Linked DNA regions of Mus musculus: regions 1 and 2 are each reported to be linked to region 3. The links are microRNA targets in miRTarBase. Many come from high-throughput screens and were not tested one by one. Region 3 holds a microRNA gene; each other region holds the end of a gene's coding sequence.

Region 1 (11,086 bases), not on the chromosome of region 3:
TAATAGAGCTTTTCTGAGAGGAAGCTCATGGGAGCCCTCACTCGTGGACCCTGCTGGGAGGCACGTATGCACCCAGGCCTCGAGATATCTTTCCCTTTTAAGCCCGTGTCTTACGCTATCTTTACGACAGCTCAGAAAGTGAATTACTCTCTGTTCCTGCCTCTCGGACTCTATGTCTCCATGTTTCACTCATGGAAAAATAACGCAGGCTGCTTGTGCATAAGGGAAGTAACGTACGAAGATTAGATTGTTCTATAGCAGCCTCTTCCTCCTAGGAAGACGGAAAGATAGTGTAATCCTGGAGTCATCGTCCTTTGAAGATAATTCAGAAACGATTATTTTTAGTTATGTGTTGTTCCTCGTGCTTTAAAAGCTCTTGATTTCTCGGATTCACACAGTAAATCTGAACCCTTCCTGATGTTGCAGAGGGTTTATAGCCTGCGCCCCCAACTTACACTGCTCTCTTGAGCATCTTTTAGAGTGTGGTTGGATTCGAAGTGGACTTGGCATTTGTAATGTCTCAACCCAGATCTCCATGCTGTTTGTGCTGAGAGAATCTGAGACAGGGTACCCACACCTCAGATGCCCCATATGTAAGAGGTAGGGAGAGGGACTCAGAGCATCCTCAGAGGCCGCACTGGCCAGCCCTCCTGTTTCCGTCAGGGTAGGTCACTGTAAAATCACAGGCCTAGATCACCCATCCCAAAATCATATTTCACTAATGGATATGGCAATATGCCATGTTCAGTGACCACTGCATAAAATACACATATTAAACCGGAGAAGAATTTGTAAAAATAAATAATGGTTTTGGGACTCTGGACATCAAATAAAAACTAGCGATAAACTTAGAAGCATTAATTTCTAAATTTTTTCCCCTACTATATATACTTTTTGAATATGAATAATGGAACACAAGTCTTTCATGTCCAAAGTCTCTGCCATCCTCCCTGTTCCCCCCACCCTTTAGCTTGGTTACAGAGAACATCATTTTTACCTGTATGCGCCTCCCTGGAATAAAAAAAAAAAAAAAAAAAAAAAAAAAAAAAAAAGCTTTGTTCAGAAGAGAGGACTCGGCTTGGGGAAGACAAGATGAAAACATACGAATGTCAGGCAGCATCGCTACCAGGTCTCCAATGCTATACCCCTAGGTCGGTGTCACCAGGGCCCTATCTGAGAAGCTTGTCCCTTTCTTGCAGAGGACCCAAGTTCAATTCCCAGTGCCCATGTGGTGGCTCACAATCATCTGTTAACTCCAGTTGCAGGGATCCAGTGCTGGCCCCCATGGACCCTAGGCATACATGTGATATGTGGTGGTTTGAATAGGAATGGCTCCCACAGACTCATGAGTTTGAATGCTTGGCCCACAGGAAGGTGTGGCCTTGTTAGAATAGGCATGGCCTTGTTGGAGGAAGTGTGTCATTCTGGGGGTGGGCTCTGAGGTCCAATGCACAAGGTCCACCCTGGGCAGAAAAGACGCTGTTCCTGGTTGCCTTTGGATCAAGATGTAGAGCTCTCAGTTCCTCCAGTGTCATGCCTGCCTGGACACTGCCATGCTTCCTGCCATGGTGATAAAGGACTGAACCTCTGAACCTGTAAGCCAGCCCCCATTAAATATTGCCCTTATAAGAGTTGCCTTGGTCATAGGATCTCTTCACAGCAATAATACCATAAGACAGATATACATACATGCTTTCAGTATAACACTCATACACATAAAAGAGTCTAAAAAAGTGTGTTACATATCATTGTAATAATTGAGATGATTTTAGTATTACAAGCTAAATAAGTTGCAATATAAAACAAATGGCTAAGGGTGGAGTGATGGCTCAGTAGTTAAGAGCACTGACTGCTCTTCCAGAGGTCCTGAGTTCAATTCCCAGCAACCACATGGTGGCTCACAACCATCTGTAATGGGATCCGATGCCCTCTTCTGGTGTGTCTGAAGATAGCTACAGTGTACTCACATACATGAGATATATAAATCTAAAAACAAAACAAAACAAAAAACCACAAATGACTATATAAATTTATAGACAAATTAAGGGCATGATGGAAACTTGACACTTTGATTAATGCAATCAGGATTGTGTCTGGTTTCAGTTTACCTTTGAACACATTGTCATTTGAACACAAAATGATGCAACCATGTCATTTTGGGGCATGTCTCATTCTGCCTGCACTTCCTATTCTGAGTTTCAGAGAATGTGAACGGTGACATTAAATAACATTACACCCTTTCCGTTTGTACATTGGGATCAGAATTAAACCGCTTTTCCCTACAGTGAACTCATGTTTTCTCTTTGAAAGCCTCACCTGGGTATGCAGCCTAGGTCCTGAGAATACCTCACCTGAGCTCCTGCACAGCTCACACCTGCACAGCTCAAACCTGCACAGTCCACACCTGCACAGCCCACACCTGCACAGCCCACACCTGCACAGTCCACACCTGCACAGCTCACACCTGCACAGCTCACACCTGCACAGCCCACACCTGCACAGCTCACACCTGCACAGTCCACACCTGCACAGCCCACACCTACACAGCCCACACCTGCACAGCCCACACCTGTACAGCCCACACCTGCACAGCCCACACCTACACAGCCCACACCTGCACAGCCCACACCTGCACAGCCCTGGCAGTTTCTTGGAAGAGACCTAGGAAGTACGTTTTCTTCCTTTTCTTTGTTTTTCATTTTAATTTTTTCCCACAAGTTATATCACACACCACCAACTTATATGAATTACTGAGGAAACCGTTTATGTTTATTGCCATGCTTGAACAGTCTCCAGGACAAAAAGTGTGGAACACAGGATGTAAAGCATTTGAGAAATTAATCAAGAGAAATTCAAGGCAACGAGTGTGGAGTTTGAGGGAAAGTAGTCGAAGATATATCCCTTTCTGCTTTGAGATTCCCATAGTCACTACTAAATATTAAATTGAAGTAGTTGCAATATGGATCAACATTTATCTTGGGTCAATTGTTATGGTGGGCATTTTAAATCTCAGCACTCAAGAAGAAGAGGCAGGCAGATCTCAAAATCCAAGGCCATCCCAATCTATAGGAACTTCCAGGCCAGCCTGGGCTATGTAGACAGATCTGATCTCAAAAATCGCAACAAAACAAAACATTATTCTGAGATAATCATTTAAAAGATGTGTCTTTACTTATTGTGTGTGTGGGTGAGGGATACCACGGTGAACATGTGCTGGTCAGGTGAGACTTCGCTGCATGCCACCAGGCTGTGTGCTCTTTGAGGACAACGGCAGATTCCTAGTTCTGTTGTGTCACCAGAGCCTGACATACACGCGAAACTTGAGAGAGCAAAGTAGGTTAGTGGTTCAGTGTGGGTGGTGCTCTGTGCACAGAGCCCCGCTCTTCTCTTGGTGGGGCTGGGGACGTGGTGTGCTCCCTCCAGGTAAAGCAGAGGGGATGAAGATGGCTTGTTAGTCAGAGACAGCTGAGCCCAGGCCTAAACAGCACCTAATGCCAAAAAGGCCTGCAGCATGGGGTCACCCACTTCACAGAGACTTGCAATCTGAACCCACATGTAAACCACAGGCAAAGATTAAGGCAAGGTGCATTCTGGCAACTGGTTAAAGCAACATAGCTCCGGGGTTGGAAGCCAGGTCCTCGGGCTTGGCATGAGGCACTTTTACCTGCTGAGCAAATCAATTTTTTTTTTATTGAAAATAGATGTTTTTATTATACAATATGTTCTGAGTACGGTTCCCCTCGCCCAGTTCCTCCCAGGTCCTCTCCGCCTTCTCCTCACCACAAATCCACACCCCCTTTTCTCTCATTAGAAAACAGGGATCTAAAAACAAAAATAAGAAGATAAAATTAAGTAAAAACAAGCAAACCAAAATAGGATGAAGGGGGAAAAAAAACCCAAATAAAAAGCACAAGAAACACATAATGACTCACACATTTAGCCACACAGAAATTCTGTAAAAAACACAAAATAGGAAATCATGAAAAAAAAAAAAAGCCCAGACAAAGCCGTGAGACAAAAAAAAAAAAAAAAAAAAAGCAAAACAAAACAACCCCCTACACACACACACACACACACACACACACACACACACACACAGAGCCATCTAAAAATAGCAATGAGTTCATTTTGTGTTGGCCATCTACTGATGAACATAGAACCTGCCCTTGCATACCCAGAAAGACTCCTTTAGAGGAAACTAATTCTTCCTTTTTGAGCAGTTATCAGTTGAAGATAACTTCTGGGCTAGGGATAGGACCTTGTGTCTACTTCCTCTCTCAGCGCTGGGACCCCATCCAGCTTAGACGTGTGCAGGCCCTGCGCATGCTCCATGAGTTCATCTAAGTGCGTCAGTCCTGCTGGGTATAGAAGGCTTTGTTTCCATGTTGTCTTCGGTTCCCACAGTCTCCTAGAATCTCTCTATCCCCTTTCTGCAGACTCTTTGAGCCCCGAGGTAGAGATTTGGTGGTCCTTCTGCCTTGTGCAGTTGTCTCTGTCCCCATCTGCAGGAGGAATGAGCCGATCATTCTTAATCAGAAAACCGTAACCTGGGAAATCCTAACTCGGTGGTTTTTTTTGTTTGTTTTTTGCTTTTTTTTTTTTTTTTTTTTTTGAGCAGGCTCGGCCAGTAGATTACCCCAAGGACTACCTCGCCCATCAGATTCCAGTATCATTTCACAAACACTGGCACATTGACCCGGTAAAGGTGTACCTCACGTGGCTGGCACCCAGTGAGGAAGACCAAGCCACGCAGGAGACACAGAAGGACCCAAGAGAAGAATTATAGAACAGAGTCTGGGACACACGGATACAAGAGATTCACCCTGTCTGTTGAGCTGTGGTCCAGCTGCTCGTGTATGCTGTGTGAAATGGACACTTCCCAGTCCTTGTGGAAATAGGATATTTTCTGTATCGGTAGACTCATAAGGGAAACTGGGAAAAATCGCTTGTTTTCATAGATGTCGTAATTGTAACACGGCAATTATTGTGCCTATTTTAGCCCACCGTGGGCTGTAAATCAAGAGCTTTTTGACTGTCAGAGGAAATAAATGGTACCTAAAGTCCTTTTCTGTTTTCTCCATTGTAACAGGGACGCCAATACAAGAATATGACTGGCTATCATCCCACATAAACATTGAATCTTTAAACATGGATATTGCCAAAGGAATGAGCCTTTAAACCAATGGTTCTCAACCTGTGGGTCGAGACCCCCTAGGAGTGGCAGTTGGTCCTATGTCAGGAATCCTACATATTAGGTACTTACATTGCAATTCGTAATTGTAGAAAAATTACAGTTATGAAGTAGCAAGGAAATAGTTTTATGGTTGTAGGTCACCTCAGCATGAAGGAACTACTGTATTAAAGGACCACTGCCTAAGGAAGGTTGAGAACCATGGCTTTAAATGGCTCTATTGTTGATGGAAATTGGTTCCCAGGCACTCAGTAGGAATGAAATACTGAGGCTGATTGGTAAAACCTAAAACTCAATATGAATACCCCCAACTATACAATCACGGTTGCTTTTTCCCCTATTCTGCTGGTTGCACCCCCAAAACAGACTCAAGGCCATCTGGTGAAGGCTCTGCTCCCTGCCAGCCTCCCCAAAGCCCTCCGCCCCCAATAGAGTGGACAGAGTGTCACCGGAAATTAGGATGCTAGGTTGACAGGTCTCTTCTGTGTCAGCAGTGGGCGTGGGGGGGTCTGGTAATGTGAGCTGCATCTGGAGCTGGCCTGTTACTCCTGCTGTTCCCTGGGTGTTACATAGTAACTCGCTTCTGGCTCTGGCTCAGGCTAGACTGCCTCCGTCCTGGCAGCATCAGCATGGCCCCTTGTGAGAGGACAGCATGGAGATCAGCAATTTCTCTGGGTTTTAAAAGAATGAAATCTGAACAACATGCTTTAAAGCAACCCTCGTTTTCCAGTGACACCTTTTATTATGTCCTAATTTAACAATTCAGCGTTAATATATATAAAAAAAGAGTACTGTGTGTTAATGTTTAAAGTAAGATGATGATTTTGTTATATAAATGTCTTTGCACATGATTTGCTCTCAAGTTCCTAAGGTTGTATGTTAGAATCCTTTCCTTTTTTTCAATCTGTACTTCATTAACCTTACTTATAAGGCTCCTAAGCCCTTATAGCCTTTAAAGCCACTCCATCAGCAATACCTATGTGATTACTTTTTAACAATGTATATTCCTATGTAGCTTACTTCTGACTCATGTCCAAATTCATGCAGTAGTGTTTATCATCCTTTTCCCAAATTAATAAGCACCAGGATTGGTGTGTGGCCCACTACTTCTGGTTTCTGGTGGAACACAGACTATGAAAACTGATTCTGTGGTTCAGCTAGAAACTGAACTGAGGACAGTCAAGTGCATGAAAGGGACCATAATGGCTTCTGGGTGTCCTGCAGATGGCTGTAGCATCATTGCTGACACGGCAATGATGAATGCCACCATTGTGACCATTGCTATCATGGTACTTACCTTCTTGACCTTGCAGGGATACCCCGGGGGGACCTGGTTGCTACACCAGTGCCGCTCAGGGAATTCCTCAGTCCACCCCTCCCATCTCTGCTCCTGAAATGTTACCAACCAGAGAACAGAGGAAGTTTCATTTGGTAGGACAAAAGCTAGCGCATCTGAGGAATGAAGAATGTTCAATCTTTTTTCTCTGTTATGACCTGTGCCCTCTTTCCCCCTCCTCCTTCCCCTCCCCCTCCCCCCTCCCTCCAGGATCCTGCTGGTATTTCTAGATATGTGGTTAACTATGTTTCCCTTTTGGAGCTACAGAAGTCTCATCATGAATACAATGTCTTCAGCTTACTTCTGACCTTGCATTTTGTCTATTGGTTGAGGCTAGATGTGGGGTGGGTAGGAGCATGCTGGACAGGCGCTGAGAAATTGGGAACACTGGCAGATTACTAAGACAGTCAATGAAAACTAAACATCTTAGGAAAAAGCAAAGAAAAAAAAACAGTTTTAAAAGAACCACGTGTTATGTTTTATACATAGCAAATGGCAGGCTCTATTTGAACACCAACTGAGAATTGATATCTTAAAAAAAAAGAAAAAACAAAACAAAACAAAAAACCTTAATTTTGAGCCTGGATTCTTCAGGGCACATCCCTCCCTCTTTGGTATTCTTTTTCCCTTTAAGTAAGGATTTCTTTGCCAGTAGATATTTTTATCCTAAGGATTTAGCACCAAGGATTTATGTATAGAATTACCTGATAGGTCATTTTTACTTTTAAGCCATTTCTCATGACCCAGCACATCGCCTGCCTGTAGAATTTTTACATCTTACAGCTAAATCAGAAGTCGAGACACAAAAATAACCTTTGTTGAATGCTTGGGACCGTAATCGCTCAGCAGCCAGAGTTACAAACAATGCTACGCAGGGCCGTGTTAGATGCCAGTGTTCACTGCGTGTCCTGATTGATCGACGACATTTAGTACGTTGCATCTATCATGGTTATTGATGTGTATAGAGAACCTCAGAGATTCACCACACAGTAGACATTTGTAAGAATATTTGTGGTGCCTCCCGTTCCTTCGTAGATGTGTCATTTTTGTGGAAGAAAAAAAAAAGCAATCAATGTACCATTAAGTACACTATAGCAGACTTACAAAGGGGCTTTGTTCCTGCTGTCTTTGAATGACAGGCCTGAAAAGGTGCTATTTAAATTGTTTATGTCCTCAAGCCCTCTAAACAAGTCACCTGCAAAATGTGTTCTCCTCCTTTCTATAGAATAAAATAAAGGATTTGTTTCTGGTATGCTTTGGCTTCTGTTGTCTCTTTAAAGGCATGATACTCCAAGCATGGGAGGGGAGGGGAGGGGAGGGGAGGGGAGGGGAGGGGAGGGGAGGGGAGGGGAGGGGAGGGGAGGGGAATGATCAGGAATAAGGTACTTTAACAAAAAGCCAGGACTTGGTTGGGTCCAGTTTAGAGGCTTCTTTGCAGGGAGCAGTTAGAGAGGAGGTCTGTGTGAGAAGAGAGTATTAGGACGAAGAGTTGGAAGATTAAGGAAGCTGAAATTTCACTAGTGGCTATGGAGGGTTTTATAGTCCAGAGGGACTGGCCAGGGTGCAGGTCCCCAACATGAAAGGGAGTAGAGAGTGTTCCTCAGCCGTCATTGTGAAGTTCAGATGATGGCCAGCAAGCAGCTGGATACGAAGTCTGGGCTTCAGGGCAGCCAGAGGTTCAATATTGAAAATCATGAGTGTTTCAAAAGCTTACTATCTCTGAGTTCTATGTAGATGTGTGTGTGTGTGTGTGAGTGTTGTGCTCATGAAGGCCCAAGGTGTCAGATCTCCTGGAGCTAGGAGTACCTGCTGTGGGTGCTGGGAACTGAACTCAGGTGCCATGGAGGAGCAGCCAGTGGTCTTGAGCCCTGAGCTATAAATTCAGCTATATATTCAGTTCCAGCTGAATCATGAGCATTTGAAAGGGTCCACCCTCTCAGGAGTGGGTAGGATGAACTGGGGAGAAAGTGAAGGAGAGAGAGACAACCTGTGTATGTGTGTGTGTGTGTGTGTGTGTGTGTGTGTGTGTGGAGTGTGTGTGAGGAGTATGTGTGAGGAGTGTGTGTGTGGAGTGTGTGTGTGTGTGTGGAGTGTGAGCTGCATGTCACAGCCAGGGGAGGTATTTCAAGAAGCAAATGTCCCATTCTATTCCAGCTGCCAAGAGGTCCATTAGGAGAGGAAGGGACTGTGTGATTCAGTGTCTTGGAAATCATGTGACTGGACACACCCATCCCCAGAGGTTGAGGAGCAAGTGCAAGTTGAAGACAACTGTGGTAAACATCTCTCTCTCTGTCTCTCTCTGTGTCTCTGTCTGTCTCCCTGTCTCTCACACACACATAGGCACACATAGAGAGTTCTGAGCTTGTCCATAGTTGAAGAAAGGAAGGTGGGTTGAGACAGAAGATGAAACCTGAGGCGTGAGGAGTTGGGCTTTCATGATGGAAAGTTCTGGAGCCTGTTGCAGAGAGCAGTACTGTCTACCCTGGCTGTGACAGTGGGTGGGGCTGGCCATGTTAGTCATGGCTCTGTGTTCGCAGGTCTCTGAGTGCTTAGGAGAACCTTCTGTAAGTGAAGAATAGAGGCAGAAACAGGAGGACTTACTGCTGTGAGCGCATGGATAGGTTCATGCGTTGGAGACATGTCTCTGTTGAATTTTAATTTTTTAGTGTGTGATTTTCGTGGGAAGCAGCTTCATGAGTTACAACCAAGGAACTCCTTACATCATTCATATCTTAGCTGAGATTCACAGACGGGCAGTGCCGCCCAGGGGTCCATGTCTGACGAGTGGCAGAGGTAGGTGTTAATGGATTCTTATTTTATGTGTCTGACTGTTTTGCCTGTAGGCGTGTCCGTGTACTACACGTGTTCCTGGTGCCCGAGGAGGCCGGAAGAGAGCATTGGCTCCCCTGGGACTGGAGTCACGGGTGTTTGCAAGCTGCTATGTGTGGTTGCTCAGAATTGAACCTGTGTCCTCTGCAAGAGCAGCCAGTGCTCTTAACCACTGAACCATCTCTCTAGTCTCAGAGCTAGATTCTTGAATGGGCATTTTGGCTCCAGAGTGTGTGTGTTTAATTCCTCCTGCAGTCCACCGAGAACATGTAGACTGTGCAGACTCAATGCATATCTAGTTATAAATGCTAGCCTATGGGAAGATAAGGAAGAGACCACACGATAACCATATAATAGCCCCACAGACAAGAGATTATTAAGCGAACTCTGATTATTTATCAGATGAGTTGAAGGACTAATGCATGCTGGCAGATTAAGAAAGGAAGAAGCAAGCTACTTGAGAATATCAAACATGCATGTTGCCACGGGGGAAAAGATGCTGACAGTGATGAACACATTTGCCCCTCTTCTCAGTGTTACTCTGTTGTGTGCCCGAGGGAGCTCATGTCCGTACCCCAGGAAGCACACCCCAGCTGTTCACAGTACACCAGGAAGCACACCCCAGCTGTTCACAGTACACCAGGAAGCACACCCTGGCTGTTCACAGCGGCATTTGCTATTCTCAAGCTGGAAGCTGTATCCAGCCTAGGTGTCTATTGCCTAAAGAATGGGTAAATAAGGCGTGGGTTCTCTATGGCATCTGCACGTTCAGTAGCTCATGTGAGTGGCCTACAGGTCCAGGAGACTTACACCATCAAATCATCAGAGTTAAGACTCACATAGGATCTCAGTGATATAACTTGAAAATGGAAAAGAACGCAGTGGGGCATACATACCTTTTAGAGAAACATTAATCAAAAAGTAGAGAAAACATAAACACAGAGTTCAAGATAATGACCACCTGCAGGGGAAGGAAAGGGAGAAAAGCCAAGCCCTGAGATGTAAAGGGACTCAGAGGGACCGCCACACACTGATGCCAATATCACTGATGTCTCTCATCAAAAGGCAGGTCACCCATCAAACCGTAACCGTAAACACCAAGCCAGCCACAAACCGTTCGATCTACAATGGAGTCCCGCTTGCAGGTTACGCTAGGGCAATGGTGGTACAAAGCTTGTGGGAGTGACCAGCCAATAACTGATTTTACTCAAGGCTCATAGCATGAGATGCAACCCAGACCCCAAACTGCTTGGTTGACCAAGAACCTGAGAGTAGAAAGGCCAGGCAGGGACTGAGGATAAACCCAAATACTACAGTTTGAAACAAACAGACCACAGCAACCAAATGGCTCCTAATGACATTCTTCTATATCCCTAAATCAGTGCCTTACTCCGTCATCATCAGAGACGCTTCCTCCTGTCGCAGACAGGAACAAACATCCCACAGGCAGACATTATACAGGGGATGAGAGACCTTGGGACACGCAGCCCTGAATGAGTTGTCTCCATCAAATTCTTCCCCTCAGGGTTCTCTGAATTCTGATGAAGAAGAGACAGAAAGAGTGTAAGAGCCAAAGGGGATGGAAGACACCAGGAAAATACGCTCTCTAAATCAACAGGATCAATGCACAAAGAACTCTCAGAGACTGAGGCAGTGTCACCTGGTGTGCACTGGTGTGCACCAGATGGGATCCTAGAGCTCAACAGGCAAGTAGACTCACGCCTCACCTC
Region 2 (10,284 bases), not on the chromosome of region 3:
AGACTAGAAGGGCAGATGATGGGATAGGGAAAACAAGGAACACTAAAGTGATCTATAAGTTGTCCGGTCCCCAAAGGCTGGTTCCTTCGAGACTTTGGTTCCTACACCCAGCCAAGCACAATCAGGGACATGAGACCCCAAAAGAAGCTGCGCTAAAAGTAACACATTCATTCTCCGTTTCTATTTCTTCAGATTTATCTCCAAAAAAGTGCTTTACCACCTGACTGTTGACCGGCCTGTGATCTACGATGGAAGCGATTTCCCATAGCATCAGTACCTGAACTCTAATTAGCTCTTCATCATCCACAGGAAACACTACTCCTCCTCACCTATCTCATTAAACATGAACACGCACACTCATCCACAAAATTTTAAATATTAAAAAATTAGAAGCAAAAGAAAGAAAATCAGCTGTGCCCCCAGCTCAGCAGTTCTGCAGCTTTGGCAGAGGCCTTGGGCTCCACAGTGCGCTTGGCTCCATGCAGCCGTTACTCTCAGGTCCCAGAGCCCCTAAGAACAAGGTACAAGACTCAGCCTTTTCATCCAAAGTGACACCATTAACCACACCTGGGATCACAGCTGGTAACAATCTACTGTGTGGTATTTTTCAGGCCAGACGTGGTCTTGATAGTATATCTACTCTTCAACAGCCAAGATTGTAGGCCAAGGGCCACTGCCCTGGCCACTTTGTGAAGCCTTGGGTAGTCCTAGGAGAAAAACACTACAGGGTCATCATGTCAAAGATGCCCCCATTCGTTAATTTCCCCATAAGTGGGGTCTGCTTCTTCCACTCAGCGACTTTGGGAGGCCAGAGTTGTTGTGCTGTTCTCCTGAGCCTTTGTCTGCTCGGGGGCTTTGTTCAGCAAGGCCACTCAGCAGATCTAAATCACCACCACCACCACCACCACACACACACACTCACACACACACACACTCACACTCACACACACACACTCACACACACACACACTCACACACACACACTCACACACACACTCACACACACACACACACACACACTCTCACACACACACACACACACACACACACACACACTCACACACACACACACACACACACTCACACACACACACACTCACACATACACACACACACACACACACACTCACACACACACACACTCACACACACACACACACACACACACTCAGGAACCAAACAGAGGTCTAGGAAAAAGCAACTACTACATGAAGGCTTCAGCTCTGCATATGGACAGCAGGAGTCCAAATACAGGCTAAGTTCCCTACAGTGGCACCAAAGCTCACGTGTCAGCCTAGAGCCCATCTGTGATTATAAACTAGAGTTTCTGCCTCAGCTGCAGACAGCTGTTTACTAATGAGTGGGGCTGGGGTAAGACCTACTGTCAATCCCTGCAACCTTTCTATGAAAGAAAAGTCTTTGGTAACTTAAGAGGCTACCTAGTGGAAGAACAGGACATAACTTCCATTTGTCACTCCCTCCCTGTTTGCCTACTTCCTGCTAGTTAGCTCACACCTGATGTTGTAGACAGTTTACTGTTTCTTTTTCTAGGACAGGCAAATAGATAGCTTAGATAGCTTCCTGTTCTCTCTGGCCCCTTCTTACTCCTACCACCAAGAATTTACCCATGATGGCAACTTTGTTCAGTGTGAAGAAGCCAGCATGTTCAGCTGAGCCTTTGAAGGCTACCCTGGGTTCTTGTGGGTCTGTATGTGGCCTGAGATTGCTAAAAGCCAAATTATCTTACCTTTGAACCCTTCTACCCTCTTGCAAATGGAATGCTGAAGCCAGCTTGTTCAATAGATCAACAGCATCCAGTACCAAATAGGATCTCATTTTTATTGCTTGGATTTTCCAGGGTATATTGGAGACACTGGCCAAACTCATGGCCTTCTGCTGGTGTCACTGCCACCATCTTCATCAAGAGCCATCATTCACTGAGTTGCTGCTGTGTTGGTGGCCTGGGAGGGGCCTGAGACCTTACATTTGAGTTCATCCTGAACTCAGTCACTCATCAGGAGGCCCATGTGGTTCTTGTGAAGCTCAGACCTGAGGTGAGAGGCTCCAGTGCTGACTGCATAGTACTCCACTAGGCATATACCAACTCTGTTTTTAATAGTCTATTTTTGTGCTAAATGGGCTTTGTACTGTACTTGCTCCAGTCTGCTGAGCACTAGGTTACTAGAGAACATTTGGCCCTGTGTAAGTGTGCCTTTCATACATAGCTTTATGGTTTTAAGTAGTCCCCAGTTTTACTGGGGTTTAGTCATTGGAGTAAATTTTTGAAAAATGCAATTGACAACTGAAGAATCATTAAGGAAGATGATGGCCCAGCTGGATTTAATTACACCAAAGATCATAAGGAAACATCCTTGAGATCTTGGTGATTCTCTTCCTGAGGGCAGCCTCTCCTCTAATGACTCAGCCTATTCCTAACAGTCAGGTCAGTAGTGTTGCCAGCTGCCTGCTCGCCAATACCACTGAAGCACTATGAGACTTCACCCACCTTGAGACAGAGTGGCCCTCCGTGTCTGAGTGGACTTTGAGAGTATTGCTGACTGAAGTACCCAGGATTCTAGCTAGTCCTAGACCAAGAGCAGGCAAAGGAATTCTCAAACAGGAATCTGGAACTGAAAATTTCCATATGGTTTTGGAGGTAGAAATGAAGAGCCATATATAAACAAAGATGTTATTTCTGAACAATTTCAATTGCCCCCCCCCCCAGGTAATCAAACCACTCCTGGCCCAAAAAGAAGGAAATCGTGTAGATATGGTTTGATGATCATAGGGTTTTGTTTTTAAACTCAAACTCAGTGGTTCAACCTGTGAGAATTCTTTAAACTGAGAAAAAAACATTCTTGGCTCACAGGTTTTGGAAAAGGAGGCAGAGAGGAGAGACATCTTTGACTCCTCAGAACCAGGGAGTGCAATACAAAGACTATTGAGTGCTGCTCACATTTACAAAAACGAACACTACTTGGTAGAATCTTAGCACACTTTCCTTGTCTCATTTCATTTCTTCTGAGGAAACAGGAAAGTTAATTCATAATTTCCTTTTCCCTCTCAAGCACTTTTTAAATTTCCAGAGACCTCTGATCAAGGGTCATTTTTAGAGCCTTTTGATGTGTGTTTAATCTCACTCAATGTTCTTTTGGTGACTGCAGTGATACTGAGCCTCCGTGGGAAGGCTTAACAGTTAGAGTGCACTTTAATTCATTAATTCACGATCCATGTGGCCTTATAATAATGGGTCAAGGAACCCATTTCATTCTTGCCTGCCAAAGAGTTACACAGAAGCACATCAAACACCAGCACTTCACCTGCACGAAGGGATGAGACTGGGATCCCTGAGTAAACTTCTTTAATAGTGTGTGCTATGCCATTTGGAAATGTTTTTTAACCTCAGGTTTTAAATAAAGCAAATACTGTGGCATTTGGAGTAGCATTGTCTTTTATTCCTCTGACAAAAATAAGTCGTAAAATAAGCGACAGAGCTACCCAGCAGGAAGCAGAACATCTCACAGGCCCCACCCCCAACCCATCCCAGCTCACCCCACCCCCACCTCCCCGCAGATAAGAGTGTGACTGATAGGTCCTGGCAAACTTCCTGGTCCTCTCTGAGGTATTGAGACCTGTCCAAGCCTGTGATTCCTTCCACCTACCATCCTCTGCCATTCATAAGGCTCCAGACCTCTCTCATGACATCAGAGCACTCAAACTTTTCAACCTGCCAAAATAATACAGGGGGAAAAAAAAGCCACACAGGGCTCAAGCTCATTGTGAGTAAGCATGTGTAGCACTGATGCTTTGCAGAGAAAAGGAGCAGCACCTGCCACAGTGTGTGCTATAATTTGCTCAGCAGCAGGGAGGCTGGAGACAAGCCCAGAGAGTTAGAGCTGCTCACTCCCACACTGTTCCTAAATTGGTGCTCATTTTAGATGACCAAGGACCCCATCCCTTGAGAATCCCACCCCCCAGCACATGTCCTGTTCCCTTCCTCCAATCTTCCCCTTGCCTAGATTTTCTTGTGCTTGCTGCTTGGATCATTCACATTTTCTGTAACTCTTAGGCACTCCCGTGAGGGTAAGGAACTCTTCATCTTCATCATTATCATCCCCCACTGTATGAAACAGTAAGTTCAGAACAAAAGGACTAAAAGAAATACTGTGCCATAAAGATCCTCATCATTGGTGCATGTCTATGTGTACCTGTGGAGACCAGAGGTTTGTCCTTGTAATGTTTTGCCAGCAAAACACACTTGGACAACCAGATCCTTCTACAGCAAAGCTTTATTGCTTACTTCTCAGGAAGACCCCGAACCCGGAAAATGGTGCTGCTTAAATACCCCTGTGTGACGTGTCAGCTCTTGATTAGCTGCTCACTCATCACTTCTCTCTTACACCCCGGGATGGGCAGTGACTTGGCACGAATTTACTCCAGCACCTGCGCACATTGCTTGTTTACTAGTTAGGCACAGTGGAAGCCAGCGCCATCTTGTAATGGCGATTGTTCACGGCTTCCACATCTCCCCCTTTTTATTTTATTAAAATTGAGGCTGGTCTAGGCCTCTGCAGTTATGCCCATCTGCTGTGGCTCCTGTCTTAGGTTGTTCCTCTAATGTCACAGCCTTTCCCGTCATAGGGTAGCCCTATCGCCACCGGGTCCCGTGTCTTAGGTAGGTCTGTACATGAGGAAAGTTGCCCATCTCTGGATACCGCAGTACTGTGTGACAGTAACTGCTAAATGACTTAGGGCGAACTCTATAAAAGAGGCCAGCCAAAAAACGAATTAGTAAACCTCAGCGAGGTGTAAGTGCTGATCAATGAGTGTTGAGTCTCTCACATCCCAGTGCAATGGATCCACAAATCTCTGGGATGCAATAGCAGAGAACTCAGATGCCATTTAGGTCTTAAGCATGGACAGACAAATTTTAGGGGAGGCCCCTTGTTCAATGGCTGCAAGTGCCTGAGCAATAACGACCTTGTCATGGTTTTGTTGGGTTCTGAGCTTACAAACTAACCAGAGCATGAACACAAGTCCACAGCAGATAACAGCAGCAAACAAAAGTACCCCCACCCACTCCTTAAAATAAGAAAATGCAGATGAAATCTAGGAGGAGAGGCCCTCTGTCAAAGACAGGTCCATTTGCATCGAGTTGATCTTGAGAACAGCCGCTCTCAGGGCCTCAAGGGTCTCATCGAATCTTTTAGACCAATTTCCTGTAAGATACAAAGAAAGCTGCCTAGACAGATTAGCTGCACGAGTAAATTTTTCATATTGGACACTGGTGATGCACAGAGCACCCAATTTTCTTTCACAGCCCAACTGGGCCAACTGGTATAGAACACTTATTTGTTCCTCAACCAGATCGAAGCGCTGATTCAATATCATCAGCCCCCCCTTTAACTGGGCACCAACACCTGTCTCATTATTTAGAATCTATTGGTAATATGGCCAAATATTTTCTTTTTCTGTAGCATCTCCTTTACCAGTTATTATAGCAAAATCTAATGGAGGTGACAAAACAAAACTCTATGTTATTTCTTTCTGAGGAAAAAGTTTTTGATTGACAAGGTGAAAAAACTATAGGAAATGTAAGGTCCGGATGACACCAAGGCATGCTGTGTATAGCAGTAGCATTGCCAACAGGCCATCCTGATCTTTTGGGAATAGTCGCATTTCCCTTTATTATGATCGTGGTGATTTTTATAGGTGAAGTTACATTATTTCCAACATCACTTGAGCCTGACTGTGCTCCTTGAGCAACTTGCGTTAAAGCATTAAATAACACTCCAGAGCTCACTTTATTTTGGCTAATGGAATCTGTCCAATTAGAGATAATCTTTTTCTTTAAAAATATTCAGTTGTCAAAGGCAAGGTAGAAGAATTGGAATGTACTGGTAAAGGTACTGGCCATGATCTTACTATGGCCCACAAGGGTATACTTATACTGGTCTCAATCATCAGGAGTAAGAATAACAGGATCATCTTGGGATTCATCTTGATCTTTCATGGTCTTTGTCAGTCGCATCGGGACCCAAAGTGTATTTTCTTCACCCTGTGGAAAAAACACAAATAGCTCCCCGGGATCTGATTAAGATAAGATTTGGGCCATACCATTTATTATTAAGGACATTCTTCCACTTGACCATTTCATTGAGCGGTTGAGGCCATTGTCCGTGCCTTTTAGCTGGTGATCTCCCAGCATTATCTAGTTTTAATAAATTAAGAGAAATTAAGAGTAAATATTATAAGTGATAGAGCCATCTTTGGCGTCTTAGCCTTTATCCCCCCTTTTTGTTTTTGTTTTTTAAAGAAGTTTTAATTTTCCTAGTTACCTAATGACCGGTTTGAGATAGAGGCCTTCATATACATTCTGTGTCCTCTCCAGGATATAGCCTGTGGGAGTCAGTTGCCTTGATGCCAGGTGTAGGTCATGAATGTTTTTGACTAACAAGAACAGAACATTTGTTTCTAGGGTGGCTTTTCAGCCCAGTCATATATACTATTTAGATTTACAAAATAAACAGCTAGGAGTTATCTGTTTAGTCTTTCTTGCCAGTGGTTAACTTTAGCTTAGGAATTTTTTCTTTGAATAGGAGCCAGGTAATGATGTATGTGCTCTAATATGTTGAATATAAAAGGGGTGCTCACGCATCAAAATACAATCTTGTATTTTCATCAAAATTTTAGATACTGAACTGTTAGTCAGTTTTAATATAACATGAACAATGACTAATTACCTTTCAATTGTTTCTCTTGAAGAGAGATTGTAACTAGAATGCTTGAAAAGTCATTATAGTCACTTGTGTATAATTTATTTATTAATCAGAAATTAGAGAAAATCTTTAAGTTGTCTCTGTAAATAACTATCTTCTAAAACCCAAATAAATATAAGAATCCTGAGTTTGTATCTTTTTAGGAGCTATCTGTAATCTTTATTAGTTAAAGCTTTATGTAAACCTCTATAACACAAAAGCAAATCTTGGGGGTTATTTCCAGGCAATCCAGGACAAGTTCTTAACTGCCCAAAAACAATTTTCTTAAAGGAACAGTATTTTTTCTTATAAGTTGCATAAGCAATTGTAAGCTCTGAGATATAATATTGACTATTAATATACAACTTAAAGTTTGATTGTTCAACATTTTTAAACACCATCTTTAGCACACGATTTAATTATCTGTGCTGAAACAGGAAGAAACTCAAAAGAATAATCATGTGATTTAATTCACATATACGTTTCTCTCATATAAAGGCTATTTTTTAAACACAGTAAATGGGATGCATGCATGCATGAATTTATAAATTTTTAGCTTATCTTAGGATAATGATTATCAATTTTACTTTATATGATGGTATGCAATAAATCAAACATCAATATTTTGCAATAACCAAATTAATGGCTGTTTGGAACAAGGAAAAGACACTTATATATGTAAGCAAACTCTGTACACTATAACTTTATATAAAGTAGGCAAGTCAAATCGCAATGTATTGATAAATTTCACAGCCTAATTGACCTTTTATAAACTTTGAATTTAAATTTTATTTAGAACAACATCTGGCTAGGTCTGTAATAAGGCTCTAAGAAGTACCACACAAGCCGAGCTGAAGCTGCTCCCCTCTGAGCTTTGCCTCAACCCAAATGCAAACTTTTCTCAATCTGAACTCTCTGCCAGAGTCTTGGCCCAAAGATTATCCCTATATTGAATTATCCTTAAAGACTTGTTTTCTTGTGTTTGTTCATGTTGTTTAGAAAGACTCCAACCTTGAGTTCCCAATTTTAAACTAACTTTCTGTTACAAGCAAAAGGCTGCCTGCCCCTTTAAGAGCTCCGTTTGCAATCGGCCCTCAGCAAGGCTTTTCAGCTGTACTTGGTTTTTAGCCACAGTGCAGCTAACTTATTAGCTTGTGCTGTGCAAATTAAAACTGCTTTTTAAACAAGTTAAAGGATGGAGAGCCAGCAGATAAAGTTTTAACCATTTATATTTTTTCAACATGAAACACAGAACAATAATCATTCAAACAACATAACAAAAACAAACATGAATTGACAGATATATGGACAATTTGTTTTGGTGCACCAAAAACAGATAATAGACAGACAGGGAATAGAACTTGGTGTCTCAAAGGGACACAGATATTTTAACCAGAGCTAAGAATATCTCCATAGGAGCCAGAGAGAAAATAGGACATCTCCCATTTTCCTTTTGTTTCTAGGAGAGCTCTGAAATAGCTTATTTTCATTTTTTCTCTTTTTTTGCTAAAAGATCCCAAACAGGGGATAACTGCTTTTCTAAAACTTATTTTCTCTCTCTCATGTTCAGACTCTACTTCTTTATCTCTTTCTTTTGGGAATACTGCCAGAGAAGAGAGAGGAGGCACAGTGACCCTGAGAGCTATCTTTAAGCCTTTAATGAAGGCTGCCTCTTTAGTCAAAGTCCTCGAGAGGAGGGTAAATTGACTTAATTTTAATTTTTATCCTTTGTATATTTATAATTTATATTATCTTTTGTATCTTTATATTTTATATTATCTTTTGTTTTTCTGTTTTCTCCTTTTCTAAACTCTCCCCGGGCATTCTTTCTCGACATTATCTTTTTTTTTTCAGGTTCAAGACCCGTGGAAAGGCCTGTATGCTTGATTGGTGTATCATGTTTCCCTTTTTGCTCCTATTCTCTCTCCCCGCTCTGTCTCTGATAGGCTTTCTTGAATTTTATCTAGAATTTTTTGCCCTGCCTTAATTACTTGTTGACATTTCTCGTCCTTTAAGCATGATCTTATCAGCTTTCACAACGGCATGATTTTTGCTTTAAGTTTGTTGTTCTCTTGCTCCCCAACTAAATTTCCCCTGAGTTTCTCCCAAGAGGGGATAGTTAAGGACCCTGAGCACGCAAACCACGGTGCTATGTGATCTATCTCTTTTACAAAGCCTTCTGGTGTCTTGGTGGAGACTTTTAAGCCACGCTGCCTCAGGACCGACTGTAAGGCGGTCACTACAGTGTGGGAGGCTCCCATGTTATTTTCTTGCATTTTTTTCTAACCTTGTCTGACCTCGACTGAACACTAGTTAGCAATTTCTCCTGTGGAAACTGTACACAATCTAAAGAAAAGAACGAGCTCTGTGAAAAGGAACAGAAAGGCTTCTAACGCTGGAGAAAGTTTAAGGCCATACCTTGTAGAGCTGTATTATCCCGTAGTTCTGAATCTGTCCCGTGAAATGTTGGGGGGGGGGAGGGAGTCTCCTTTCAGCGCCTGGTGATGATATATTCCCGGGTTTTGGCACCACTTTGTCCTTGTAACATTTTGCCAGCAAAACACACTTGGACAACCAGATCCTTCTACAGCAAATCTTTATTGCTTACTTCTCAGGAAGACCCCGAACCCAGAAAATGGTGCTGCTTAAATACCCCTCTGTGTGACGTGTCAGCTCTTGATTAGCTGTTCACTTCACTCTTACACCCCGGGATGGGCAGTGACTTGGCACGAATTTACTCCAGCACCTGCGCACATTGCTTGTTTACTAGTTAGACACTGTGGAAGCCAGCGCCATCTTGTAATGGCGATTGTTCACGGCTTCCCACAGAGGTTGATATCAGGTGTCTTCCTTTAATGCTCTCTGCATTATCTTTTTTTTAATATTGCGTTTTTCCTGTATGTATTTATGTGTACTAGATGTGTGTCTGGTTCCCATGGAAGCCAGAAGAGGGTGCTGGATCCCTTGGAACTTGAGTTACAGACAGCTGCAACCACCATATGGGTGCTGGGAGTTGAACCTGGAGCATCTGAAAGGGCTCTCTGCTCCTTTACCTTAATTTTTGAAACAGGTTCTCTCACTGAATCCAGAGCTAAGCATCTCCCAGACTTCCAAGAGCTTCTTAAAACTAAGTGCAATTATTTCATTAGATATTGTACAAAGCCTGTGTTTCCTGTAGTGTTCCCAAACTCCCCATCACAAACCACAGGGGGAAAAGCTTGGAATTATTTTCTAATTAATGTGCACTTACCTTCAACACCCACTAATTCTCTGTCATAGGGTCCTTTATGTAAGTAATTCTTGGCAAGCATATAGATTAAGCAAGTACATTGAAGGTTCACCCTGCTTCTCTTTCTGCCTCTCTCCTTCAGCACCATTATGATTCCAGGACAAAATGTTAGAACTACAAAATCAAATTAGCATTCAAGAGCAAACAAAATGCCACCTGTGTAGTGCTGTGGCTCATAGGCATATGTTGTAGTCTGAATGTGTAGTGCTGTGACTGTGTAGGTGTGTGCTGTAGTCT
Region 3 (3,000 bases):
AGAAGCATGCAAAGACGTGGAAATAGTGCCATCTGGTGGATAAGGAGGTGTCTTCAAGACAGCTACTAAAAGCTGGATCCAATATAGTATTTCTGCCCCTTAAAGCTCTAACCCAAAGCTTGCAGTTCTTTTTAAAAGAGTGTTCTTTTGAAACTCATTTTTATTACCTTGTGTTTATTTACCTGCACTTATATCTGTGCATCACGTGTGTGCGTGGTGTCCGCGGAGCTCAGAAGAGGGCTTCTGATCGCCTGGAACTGGAGTTTCAGGCTTTTGGGGGCCGCCCTGTTGGTGTTGAGAATCTAATCTGTGTTCTCTGGAGGAGCAGCCAGTGCTCTTTTCAGCCGCTGAGCCATCTCTCCAGCTCCTGTACTTTCTTTAATGGATGAAAAAGTTAAATCCTCATCTGACTCACATCTCTAGCACCACTTACTTCTCTTTACACCAAATAGCCCACATGCTTTTAAATTTAGATTATTAGCTAAAATCTCACCATTTGAATATTTTTCTAGATAACATACATTTTTCTATATTCAATCAGTGACGCTTGAAATCAAATATATAGCTGGCCTTTTAAAATGCAGTGACTAATGTCACCTATAGAGAAATAACATTTAAAAGCCTTTACATTGTGTCTTTAGTTATGTTTCCTGCCCAAATTATTTTATCTTCTAGATACTTTACTGCCTAATTCAATTGAACTTTTGTTAATTCATTTTTACTTTGCTAACATCTTTAACTTAACATTAAATTTGGAAAACCCAAGTATAAGAATACAGAGTTCTTAGTCAAGCACTTAATGCCAGCACTTGGGAGGCAGAGGCAGGTGGATCTCCCGGCTCCAGGCCAGCCTGGTCTACACAGCAGTTCCACATCAGCCAGGGCTACAAAAAAAAAAAAAAAAAAAAAAAAAAACACAAAAACAACCTGTCTAGAAAAAAATTAGCCAATCAACCCCCCACCCCCAAGGGGGAAAAACAAACAAAACATCAAAAACCACATTTAAAGTTCTTAAAAGTTTTTTTTTTTAAAACATGGGTATAGCTTGGTAATATAAATTTTGTTTCTTATAGTTTAGGAGACATTAAACAAGGTTTCTCTATAAATCCTCTTCAGTTACTAAGATTAGAGTTCTGGGGTTGGCAAGAAGGTTCAGTAAAGGCACTTACTGCCATGCTATCCCAGGAATTCACATGGTGGAAGGAGAAAACTGGCTCCCTCAGAGTTCCCTTGCTCTCCGTATCCACGCCACCACACTCCAGCAGCTCTGCAGCAGTGTCTTTCTGTTAGAAACTTAGCCTCAGCCACTCCACAGACTGTGAAAATCCGAACTTGCCAGACTCGGGTAGGCAGTGTTGTTAGCTGGCTGCGTTGGGTCAGGCCAGCAGCCACAGCTACCCTGCCACTTCCTTCTGGCTGGGTTCTTCTTGTTAATGAGGTGCGCTGTCTTGCCTGTGTGTGATGGCTTGGCAGTGTATTGTTAGCTGGTTGAGTATGTGAGCGGCACCAGCTAACATGCGACTGCTCTCCTATTGCACACACAATCACCACCAGCATGCATTTACAGCTCATGTATGTGCTTTGCCATGAAGAGGGGTACTATTATGATAACAGCTATTAGTGGCTTGGGGTGACACAAGGACATATTTATAGCAGTGAAAGTACTAACCATTGTTACTTTAAAAACTCAAGTAATATTTTCTGAGTCCTAGCTTGACATTATCAAAGCATTTATAAAGTTATGTGTTTGTTGTTTTAACACAAGATTTAGAATAAAATGGAAAGCCTTGTGTATTTGCCCAAGTTTCCAACTAAATCAGTTTCATGATAGAGTAGAGCAGGTCTCTCCAACTTTATGTATACACCAAGTGGAGGGAGAATTTGTGTTAACTTTCAAAATGACCCACACGTTAAAACATCTTCACTAGAAGTATCTAGACAATTTGGGATATCTTGGGGATGTGGTAGGGATGGGCTTATTTATTTGGGGAGACAACTCAGTTCTTCCATTTTGTATAAAATATTGCAAATATTTTTTACAATAATTGGAAGGACATGAGATCTAGTTTATAAAGAAAGAAGAAGAGCTGGCCATAAATATTATTTAAAATACTTCCTCATTCTTTGGAAGGCCGTTTGATTCACGGAACAGAGTCAGAGGTCATATGGTGACCTCAGGTGGACATCTGCAGGAAATCACCAGAACTCACTGTGGTGTACTGGTGACTACTAGAGACATAGAAGAGAAAAGAAAAAGACTGCACTCTTTAAGTTATTGGGCCAAAATCTCCTGATGAAATAAATTTGCATTAACTATTTAAATGTAAATATATTTCTTAGACATAGGTTAAACAGATGCTATTATCTGATTCCTGTGTATTTTACTATTTTCAAATCTCATCCTTGGTGTTGCTGCTGTTGACCAGTATTATTTTATGATGGTCTTTGTGTTTAAGACAGCTAAGTAAATAGTATTTTCATTTTTTTTTTAGAATTTTTATTTATTCCCTGAGAATTTCACACATGTATACAATGAATTTTGATTCTATTCAACCCAAACTTCCCACTCCCTCTGGACCCTTTCCCAATACCTCCCTTCTACCTCTATGGCTTCTTTTAAAAAATAACACCCTGAGTCCAATTAAAGCTGTCCACATTCCCACGAGCGGGGGGCCATCTATCTGATCCACTACAGCTCCTGCCCGTGAAGAAAAATGACCTCCGTTTCCCATTTGTCATCATTCTCCAGCGGCTCTTCAGCTAGGGTGGAGCCTCCGGGCCCCTCCCCACCCTGCTGGATGGTTAGCAGGCTTCATCTTACACAGGCCTGCTTATCTGTCGTTAGTTGAGGAGTGTAAGGACCATACAGGGCCAGAAGACAGTGTTCCCAGTACTCTTCCTCATTCCCTGGCTTACATTCCTTCTGTCCCCCTCTTCTACAATGTTCCTTGACTTTTGTGGGGTTGATATAAATCAGACACATCAACAGTCACTTACTCT

What was found. The annotated mature microRNA mmu-miR-449a-5p reads UGGCAGUGUAUUGUUAGCUGGU and lies in region 3 at 1,468-1,489, shown strand. An mRNA with a match to its seed (bases 2 to 7 or 8) in the 3' UTR can be bound and repressed. Matches are read on the target gene's strand: a 7mer-m8 pairs with bases 2 to 8, a 7mer-A1 pairs with bases 2 to 7 and ends in A, and an 8mer does both.
Region 1: miRTarBase lists B3glct as a target of mmu-miR-449a-5p. Seed matches in the 3' UTR shown: 7mer-m8 at 5,368-5,374.
Region 2: the mRNA of Fyco1 is a reported target of mmu-miR-449a-5p. Seed matches in the 3' UTR shown: 7mer-m8 at 672-678 and 8mer at 1,904-1,911.

The regions. Positions count from the first base shown.
Region 1 is chr5:149,754,821-149,765,906 of GRCm38, forward strand. B3glct (beta-3-glucosyltransferase) reads left to right here. Exons shown (of 15, transcript NM_001081204.2): 15 at 4,619-7,779. The coding sequence ends at 4,786. The region is part of intron 1 of Gm36141 (predicted gene, 36141); the gene reads right to left. It overlaps Gm38587 (a long non-coding RNA gene), which reads left to right and starts at 8,362. Exons shown (of 3, transcript XR_001785033.1): 1 at 8,362-8,800; 2 at 9,194-9,320; 3 at 10,882-11,086.
Region 2 is chr9:123,782,658-123,792,941 of GRCm38, reverse strand. It overlaps Fyco1 (FYVE and coiled-coil domain containing 1), which reads left to right. Exons shown (of 18, transcript NM_001110253.2): 18 at 193-3,442. The coding sequence ends at 268. It overlaps Ccr9 (chemokine (C-C motif) receptor 9), which reads right to left. Exons shown (of 3, transcript NM_009913.6): 3 at 9,485-10,284. Among named protein-coding and RNA genes, the nearest start is that of Gm17021, 14 kb to the right of the region's middle.
Region 3 is chr13:113,036,082-113,039,081 of GRCm38, forward strand. It overlaps Mir449a (microRNA 449a), which reads left to right and starts at 1,453; the gene lies at 1,453-1,543. The region is part of intron 2 of Cdc20b (cell division cycle 20B); the gene reads left to right. Mir449c (microRNA 449c) reads left to right here; the gene lies at 1-10. Mir449b (microRNA 449b) reads left to right here and starts at 1,338; the gene lies at 1,338-1,417.